Saccharomyces cerevisiae S288C: one gene and its partners. Changing the gene in region 3 together with the main gene of any one other region gives a genetic interaction. Each region holds a gene or a part of one and is shown on either strand. Other genes may lie near its edges. The genes, in order: PEX7, PAU15 and WHI4.

Region 1 (3,423 bases), 690 kb from region 3:
TTTAGGTGACCAGCTTTGCAACGCCTTTAATAGTGTTCCCAAACTAGCAATATAGTCCGCCCATTCTGTTACAGAGTCAAATCTTTCTAATGCTCGCTCGACATTAGCACGAAACTTCTTCTGTTTGGAGTCTAGTTGTTTATTATTTGAGTCAATTGTAAGGGGCTTTAGTGGTAAGGACATTTTTTGTCGATCCTCTCAGAAAAAGCTGCTCTGTCGGCTTTTTATTTCACCGTTATAAACATAATTGGGAGGCTTGAGTTTTATATTAGGTATTGCTATTGTTCCTTTTCCAGTGAGATCGAAGCTTAGCCTTTGAAAAAACCAAAATCACTTTTGATCACGTGCCTCGGGTGGAACGCCCAGCAAATATATAAGTATGTCGTTTATTAATAAAACGGTAATCGGACTCTAAATATTCCTTCTTTCAGCACTCGCTTATGTCGTTATAAAAACTTGATTAATTTGAGTAATTAGCAGTTTTTGCCGTAGGTATGTTTTTAGAATGTTCTTTTGCACAGTCAGAAGCGTTGTTACCCATAATTTCGTGTTGAGAATATTAAATAATTACGTAAATGATCTGCCAAATGCTGACAATGATTGAAAAATAATTTTAAAGTTTAAATAATGCAAAAAATTTGTGTAAAAAGAATATGTGTCAACCTAAGCCGTTCCATACAAATAAATTTCCATCCCATGCAGTTGAAGCCACATATCCTGGCTTTCCCCACAAGCTCCAGTCAGCTCCAAATACGAATTCTGAATGCTGTGTGAAATTGAAAATGGAACCTTTAGTAGCATCCGTAGAGTTAGTTTTATATGTTTCTTTTGCACCATCGTTGCTGAGATCTCTCCATATTCGACAGGTCATATCATATGAAGCTGACATTAAAATATTGGAATGATGAGGGGACCAGGTAACTTTTCTGATTGCCAGCCCGTGCGCATTAGGGATTTCATTGATGCATGATGAATTGTGAAGTTGGCCGGGCACAGTCCTCTTGATAGTCGCTGATTCATTTTTATTTAGCATCCTAATGTCCCAGATTCTAATGGCATTATCTACACCTCCTGTGGCAACTACATAAGGTCTGTATTTGTTGAAATCGCAAGTCAATGCTTCTAGTCCTGAATGCACTAAAAAATTATTCTGATTTTTGCCGGAAGGTAGTCTAATGTCAAATAAGCTTGCATAAGAATTCCCTGAACAGGATAATACGAGATTTTGGTCGTGGGGCGAGAACTGTGCTTGGTATACACAGTTCCTGTTTTTTGAAATACCTGTAAAGCTTTTCTTTTTCAATATAATGGCGTTTAATGGATCCACCATTTTGGTAATCTCTAAAGGTCGTGGAGTAAGGGTCATTAAACTTTGCTTTCTTAGAGGGGACCATATTTTTATAGATCCATCCCATGAACTACTTAAGAAATTCTGCCTGTTGACTAAGTTCCAATTACAACTGAATACTTCTCGTTCATGCTCTTTAAATATAGCAATAGGAAACTCTTTAAAGGTTGTATCAAACAAGCGTAATGTACCATCGCCCTGTGCAACCAACACTTGGTTTTCATGACTTTCGTTCCATGCAAGATCAAATAAACAATCCTGTGTTAAAAAGGAATTAACTTCCACTATTCTACCTGAACGATCAATCTCAAGGATGAACAATTTTCCATTCCCAACCAGGCCAAAGTTTGAACCAGCAGCTACCGCGAGCCTGTTATCGAAAAAGGGAGAATACTGGACACCGTACCCACTAAAACCTTGCATATGATATCTGAGCATGTTGTATAAATTATGCAAAAAGTTAGATGATAGTCCGTTAACAATATGAGATCTCTGCACTTTTCGAGCGTCGAATTCCAAATCAGAAAGAAAACGATTTCGACCTCCGGTAAAAGATTTTATGGTAAGAAAACACAGTTTGTGTTCCACAGTTCTTAAAAGTGTTTTCACCTTTTACTGTTTTGCGAAACGACTTTTCAGAGGAGGTTATGTCGGTGGTTTAATTTCTCGGCCTTCATATTTACTTGCTGGAGACATGCAAATTTCTGATTAACAATGATTATAGAACTTTAAGTAGAAGTAAAGAAAAATAAGTATATGATATATATATATAAAGATGCAGATAAAAAAAAGGTAAAAGGAGTAGAAAATAATGTCTGAAAATGGATGACTGCCAATAGGACATATTTTCATATTAACATACTTCAGAAGCGGTATTGTTTATTGTGATGATCGTTGCTCATTGTTATCATTAGGGACGTCGTTATGAATGGTGGTGTCCGAACTGCTTGAACCTTGGCCTTGAGAGGGATTTTCGTCTGTAGGAGGAAAGGCAGCAGAATTGTTGTTGCGTAGTTCGACGGTAGTAACATCACCATTTTGATTTCTATAACTGGCAACACCGGAGGAAAACAAGTTATTTCTGTTGTTCTCACCAGTACTTCCACCTCGTTGTTGATCATTGCTATGGTTATTGTCGTTATTGTTGTCTCTTGAGCCATTCGTAAAATGGCCTGTTAATCGTGAAATATTTTCCAAAAAGGAACTTCCTTGCGTTGTATCAGAGGACGATGAGTCATTACGTCCTTGGTTGTGAACAGTTTGTGCTCCGGGTGCTGTTGTTGCAGAGGTATCAGAAGTTCCCCTCTGAGCAACGTTGAATATGTGATCCAAAACGGCTCTTAGTCTGTTGTGGTGAGGGTCTGTAGCGTCACTACTAGTGTTATTTGAGTTTGGACCGTTCGCTGCTGATGGGCTTGCCGAAGAATCAGAAGCGGAAGGATTCGGATTTGGACTGTGGAATTGGAACAAAGTCAAAGGGATGGGAACCCAGCGCGGACTTTGATTGTTATTCGAACCACCAGAATTAGAGGGTGGATTTTGAGTAGTTGAGCTCGGCCCGTTGACACCGTTTCTATCGCTATCATTAGGCGGTAAACGGACTGGATTGTGTAAAGGTTGGCCGTTTTGAGGCACTAAAAAAAAGCCTGTTCTTGATAACATCTGTTCGCCAGAACTTGCATTTCCGATAGTGGGAACCGTTGTATTGGACGTGTTTTCGGATGGGGCGGAACTATTTTCGTTAGTGCTATTCACTGCAGTTGGGTCGTATAAAACTCGTCTAATACGTTCAAAAGCAGCTTCGTTAGCTGCTACTTCATCCGTATCTTGTTGGGCTGCACGTTGAACACCTACAGATTCGCTGATCTTTTGTCTACAAAGGGGACAAGAATTTTCTAATCTTGACCATTTGTAGATACATTCCCTCCCAAAAATGTGGCCACAAGGTAACTTGATTGGTGAGTGTTTGTAGCTTGGATTTGTTTCTTCATCATTGAGAGTGCGTTGTTGTTCAGTGAGAGGAATAGAAGGCGGTTCAACAACCGTAGCATTTGTAATCGATGGGTTACTGTCAT
Region 2 (2,549 bases), on a different chromosome or scaffold from region 3:
TAACCCCTTATACAAATTACCACCATATGTTCCTTTTCTGCAGCGAAAACCTCGGTGTTGTCAGAAACAATTTAAGAAAAGCACAGGCGAAATTGGGCTTGCACTGGGTGATCAACAATGCCAGAAATAAATGAGAAGCTTTTTACTCTTGCTTTTGCTTCTTCCTCTTTATGTTCAAGCCAGCCAAGCTATGTTATAGTGTTGAATGTCTTGAACCGTTATAGTTTCTAAAAATAACTTTACATTTTGTTATGCAATCTTCATCATCTCGAACTTTTCAACAAACGTTCAACAGTGATGGTCTTCCCCAGTGAACCAAAAGACATATGACGCTCGTATGGTATGTTAAAAACAACATAGAGGATAGTAGGTCGGGGTTTATTGTAGAAAGGACATAAATAGTTGACGTGGTAAATTTTCATCAACTAAAGCCACATCTATTTTGCCAAGTAGGAGATAATGTAATATGTAGAGGGATCGAGATTTACTGAAGCCTCACGTGAGGGCAATCTGGAATCAGATTGCACTGGTTTGCACCATACCTCTCAAAGAAGAAAACGTACTACTTTTTTAGTTGAGTATGGATAGGGTAGTGTTTCCTAAAGTTATAAGGTAAAAGGGGCAGAGGAAAAGTCGATAATAATTTGAAAGAAACTTGCTTCCATATTCACAAAGGAGCTGGATACTTCATGTCATCCGCACATATATCTACAAAAATTTCAACTTTTTGAGGTTGATACTAAGTCTTTCGCTACCAAAATGAAAGAAATCAATTTGGAGAGACTTAGGCTGAATATTTCCGCGTTCTCTCTGGGGATGAAAGATTTCTTACTGCAAAGAGTTTCAGTATTTACGGATTGGTTACAATTTTTTTTTTTTATCATAATCAATTCTTTGAATATCAACTTCTCTCAATACCATCCGCCTCTCAGCGGCTACAATTACGTAATTGCACCAAGGCCTTCGCCGAGAGTTTACATATTTGCAGACCCTAACAGTATACGACTCCCAACACACGTTTAATGTTGTACGAATTCAAGAGATAGAAATATTTCTTGCATGGAAGCCGTTTAGAGCAGACTGAATATGGGCTTAGACAATAAGCTTCTGTACGAGGGTCCAAATCTAAAATTCGGATATTCTTTTTGACCGAAAAAGGAAATGTCACAGGCACAGAAAAGGGTTTTATAAGGCACCTCGGCACCCTATAATTGGCATTCCCACATTCTGCGCATACGAATACACATGAGTGCCATAAAACAATACTCCACATACGAAGTCTATGAAAGATGTATGATTCGTTCAGAAACAAGGTCATCTCCATAGAGATAATGAGATTGTGTGAAAGATGAGATATGGAGGATATGTGAGGTGCTAAATGAGCACCTGTTAACGAATCGTTTAAGTAGTGATGACTGATGAAGGCATGGGTATAAATAGAGCTGCTTCAACTGTATGTCTTTGAGAATATGTTTTTATTCCTTTCTTTCCTGTTAAGCTTATATCAGCACTAAAAAACAAAACAAATATAATGGTCAAATTAACTTCAATCGCTGCTGGTGTCGCCGCCATCGCTGCTGGTGTTGCCGCTGCCCCAGCCACTACCACTCTATCTCCATCTGACGAAAGAGTTAACTTGGTCGAATTGGGTGTTTACGTCTCCGATATCAGAGCTCATTTGGCCCAATACTACTTGTTTCAAGCAGCTCATCCAAGTGAGACCTACCCAGTTGAAATTGCTGAAGCTGTTTTCAACTATGGTGACTTCACCACCATGTTGACTGGTATTCCAGCTGAACAAGTCACCAGAGTTATCACTGGTGTTCCATGGTACTCTACCAGATTGAGACCAGCTATCTCCAGTGCTCTATCTAAGGACGGTATTTACACTGCTATTCCAAAATAGAGACATGCCTTTACGAATGAGATTCCATAGACATTGAAAGTAACGAAAAAATGAAATAAAAAATGCTTTCAATATAAATACAGCTGATTACATATAAACATATATTAATATTATAAATTCATTTGCTTTCACGAACTACCGGCTGGGCGTCAATATAATAGGGAACGCATAGTTGCTCTTTTATCTTTCTCACAACTAGGGGTTTTTTTATGTGAGCTGTACGGAATAGGCCAGTTTTACAACAGGATTCGTAGATCAGAATCCGTTCAAGCTATTCACCTGTTACAGCAGTAGAGTTGCTCTTGTCTTGACCCGTGAATATTAAATACTGTAGAACCAGAACGGATACTTGAATATATTCAACGATGGGAAAATAAAAAGACATATAAGAAAAATGTGCTAGTACGGTAAGGAGGATACTGAAAAGAAAAGGAAAATATAGTTTAAAATAGTAAAGATAACCCACTTTCGTTATGGGTTTAGTGAGGGTTGGTAACGAACCGTAGCGCGGTGTAGTATGCTGTGAATAATTGTACTTTAGCATAGTTAACATTACAATCTTTGTACGTTTATATAACAAATATGATAGAGTATGAGAAAAATTAAATGATACATTTTGAGGTTAAGGTTGAAACTATTATAT
Region 3 (3,766 bases):
ACTGTTTGAGCCTCTAACGCCTAATGGATTTTTAGAGAAGCTCAACCTGATACCTCCTTTGTTGTTGAGGGAAGGGCGGGGGTGAGGTAGTTGACTACCATATAATTCTGCCAATGCTCTAGTGGCAAAGCTAACATCCTCAAATTCTACAAAACAAATTGGACCATGGCCATGACCGTTGCCATGACCGTGAGAGTTCATTTTATTCCTGAAGGATAATCTACGAAAACCTTGCTGATTAGAAAACAATTGCCTTAATTCTTGTTCCGTGGCATCCGGAGGTAGATTACCCACATAAAGAGTATTACAAGGAGGATTTTGGTCCGCGGGATTGGCTGGTGGTGGCACCTTGGCTAGTAGTGATAGGTCAGCCTGTGAAATAGTTGTGGAACCTGCCACATTTGTTTCGTTATTTTTCGAAAATGCAGAGGCAGAAGCTGTAGAAGAACATTCTTTCTGTCGTGATATTGTACTGGTGTCTTGTTCACTCACTAAAAAGCCTTGATTCACCTTTTGGTTGTTGAATATTGAAGACCCGTTAGGAGCAGAAGATTGTGGGTGGCCATTTTCCGTTTGGAGATTCAGGTCCAAATTGGAAGGAACATTCGAAACGCTCTGCTGAATACTTTGTGTCTTAGTTGAAGCATTAATTTGGTTCAATAAGTGATAATGCGGTAGAGAAGTCGCGGAATGTATTACTCCTGAATTGTTCAGATTAGGTTGTGATTGAATATGTGGAACATCCTGGCTAATTGAATGGTGGGATGGAGGCAACAGATTAGACTGATGATTTTCTTGGCTAGATAATTGAAAAAGAGGAATATTAGCAGTTGAGGAAGCATTCCACTCCATCACAGGCGTAGATGACATCGGAGGCTCTTGTAAAGATGCACCAAATGAAGAATTACCAACATCATTAACTAATTCATCACCATTCCAAATACTTTCATTTATTTCATCCTTTTCTAGTAGCAAAAGTGACTTGCCAGCGTCCTTCTGAGGTGGCATTCCTGCTGGAACTGGTGTGGTGGTTACGTTTGATAAATCATGTTGTGAGATGCTATTTCGTAGAAAGGGTACGGATTCTTTTCTTTGAGAGATTGTTTCCAATCCGAATGGGTCATTGAATGAGAAACGGAGGGATCTCTCTGAAAGTAATGAAGGCCTTGGCTTGGCCGCTGAAGGCCCTAATGGAGAGGAACTAGTTTTTCCATATGATATAGTATTAAAACTTTGATTTTGAATTTCATTTTGCGCACTGGACGACAATTGGTAATTCTTTGGAGAACTATTTGTAGTGCCAGATGAAACATGTTCTTGAAAACTCACTGGAAGCTGCGTTTGTTCATTTACTACGTCAATGTGAGACCTAAAGGGGAAACTAGGCCCAAAAATCTCAGACTTCGAGTTTAATATATTAGCATAATGGGTTACTAAAGAAAGGGATCCAAATTTGACCACAACGACTTTTTCATTGTCATTAAAGGGTTCTCTATCATCCCTTTTTAGTTCTATACTTGACACCCCAGTTGCTAGTGAAAATATACAATAACACTCTCTTAGTGTAATGTCTTTTGGCAAATTCCTCAGCAAAAGACAGTAGGGGCCAACATCCACATCATGTGGGGCTAAAGAATTGACGTCATTCCCGTTCCCTTTCCCCGTGGACATGGTCAAATTATGAAGCATAGAAGTCATAATAGGTTCTTTTGCAAAACCTTGCGGGTTCTCTCTTTTAATGTTAGTCTCGCTGTTGCTCCTAACTGCGGAAAAACTATATGCAGTTGGCATGGGATATGTTGCCTCCTTTGATAATGGAACGGTTTCTGAACTAGAACTAAATGCCCTTTCTATAAGAAATTTGGATTCGTTTAAATTCGTCTGATTATGCACTAATGACATTGTTAATTGAGAAACCTTAAGCGTTATTTTTCAGCGTAGATGTGGCAACTAAGGTTCCTGTTTTCAAAAACCCTGCTTTTTTGAAAAATGCTCGAAAAATAAAGAAAGAAGTCAGTCCCTTGTTTTAGCAAAGTGATAATTTGTGAAATATGACACAAGTAGAAGATAAACCTTTACACGCAGAAATAACAGCGGATTATATTTTGATTCTTAGATTTCCTAATTTCGTGAACTTTTAACTAAGAAGGAAAAAACAATTGAGATGAGATCCAAATGGGAGGAGTTTTGAAACAATTGTTTGCTATTATTTCAATGATTTAGTGTTGCCACCAGATGGGTCTATTTTCTGTAAAACTACCGGTTCGAGGCTCCTGCCGTAACCTTAATTGTACTTTTCTATGATTTAATCCAAATAACCATTCCATTCCTCTTTAAGTCTAAGAAACATTAAAAAACAAAAAACACCACGTCCGGGTAATGAAAATATAACGCTGGGTAATGCACGTGTTGATAATTACATCGTTTTTCACTAATATCGTACCAAACGAGATGTTTGCAGAAAGAACAAACCAATATTTTAAATAATCAAAAATCAAATTAGCTATTATTTCTCATTTGGTGATAATAATATATACATACATATATATATATATATATAAATATATAGGTATATATATAAATAACCTAAGACAAGTTAAATGAGTATAAAAAACCTTGAACGTAAATGAAAAAAAAAAAAATACTAGTAAATTGACAACATAAAAGACAAAAATAAATGAAAGAGGAAAGTGGTAATAAAGTGGTTAAAATTTGTTGTAGTTGTAGATAGGAGGAGTCCGCGTAGACAGTTATTCAAATTCAATTGAGGAAGAAAAATAGATTTCAAAGAATACTGGGAATTTGTTAATCGAGAAGTGTTTAAATTTCACTCCTAAATCCAAAAGTACCGCCAGAAATACTTTTTCTCACTCTACCCATGAAACTTTGTTTACCAGCCTGTTCCTCACCTTGCTCGTCGTCATGGTAATCTTGCTCACCCTCATCGGAACCGTACTGATGATGTCTTGGAGTGTGCTCGGCTGAATGAGTAGAATTATTATAGTCGTAGTCAGACCCTTTTGAAGAATTCTGTCTGCTGTGACGGTGATGATTGTGATGATGTTTTGATTTTCCGGAACCCATTGAACCCACCGACACTTTCCTTCCCTGAGAAGTTGTTTCATTATGAATTGAATAGGAAGTGGTTTCTGGGTAGGTGCCCTCAGATGGCTTTTGAGAACTAGAGGTGTTGGTGTCTTTAAATCCGTATGTTGGGACATGTGGGTCAATCAAACTAGGGAAATTACCAACTTCGGCAGCATAAGCGTTTGAGGCGTCGGCACCACCAAGGTCGGTTCTACGTTTGTTCTTCAAATCTACTTCACGCTTGTAGCCCGGTGCGTCTTCCTCTAAAACTTTCGCATTCTTATTGACATCAATATTATCGTCGCTAGAATATTCTTGATTTTGGGAATTGCCGCCAGAACCGTAACTGGCCTTTTGTTCTGATGATGGTTCCTGATCGTGAGTCATTCCAGTAATATCTTGTGATTTGGCATATGTAGGGTCCGCATTTTTAATATTATCGTAAGCAGCTGTTTCAGCATCCCCTGATTTGGAGTATGTAGTGTCTCCAGATCTGGAATTATCAAAGGCAGCAACATTAGCGTTTTCGAGATGAGTGTCTGTATTTTTACTATCATCAAAAGGGTTCGAGCTGAAGGTCTTGGATTTTGCACCCATCCTTCCGGTTGTATCTACGTTTCCAGTAGTACCTGTTTCCGGATTATTGGTGAAATCCTTGGCATCGGATGCAATATCCTGT

The links.
Region 1: mutations in WHI4 (region 3) and PEX7 together harm fitness more than expected from each alone (negative genetic interaction), as found in Saccharomyces cerevisiae (one large-scale study listed by BioGRID).
Region 2: mutations in WHI4 (region 3) and PAU15 together harm fitness less than expected from each alone (positive genetic interaction), as found in Saccharomyces cerevisiae (one large-scale study listed by BioGRID).

The regions. Positions count from the first base shown.
Region 1 is NC_001136.10:739,815-743,237, forward strand, and holds PEX7 (Pex7p), read right to left. Parts: upstream 1,787-3,423; coding exon 659-1,786; downstream 1-658. Other genes in the region: DOP1 (Dop1p), read right to left, coding at 1-183; ubiquitin-protein ligase SAN1, read right to left, coding at 2,228-3,423. UniProt on the Saccharomyces cerevisiae protein: Receptor required for the peroxisomal import of proteins containing a C-terminal PTS2-type peroxisomal targeting signal, such as 3-oxoacyl-CoA thiolase. Specifically binds to cargo proteins containing a PTS2 peroxisomal targeting signal in the cytosol.
Region 2 is NC_001141.2:432,398-434,946, forward strand, and holds PAU15 (seripauperin PAU15), read left to right. Parts: upstream 1-1,531; coding exon 1,532-1,906; downstream 1,907-2,549.
Region 3 is NC_001136.10:54,445-58,210, forward strand, and holds the start of WHI4 (Whi4p), read right to left. Parts: upstream 1,903-3,766; coding exon 1-1,902. Other genes in the region: HBT1 (Hbt1p), read right to left, coding at 2,821-3,766. UniProt on the Saccharomyces cerevisiae protein: Has a partially redundant function to WHI3, a dosage-dependent modulator of cell size.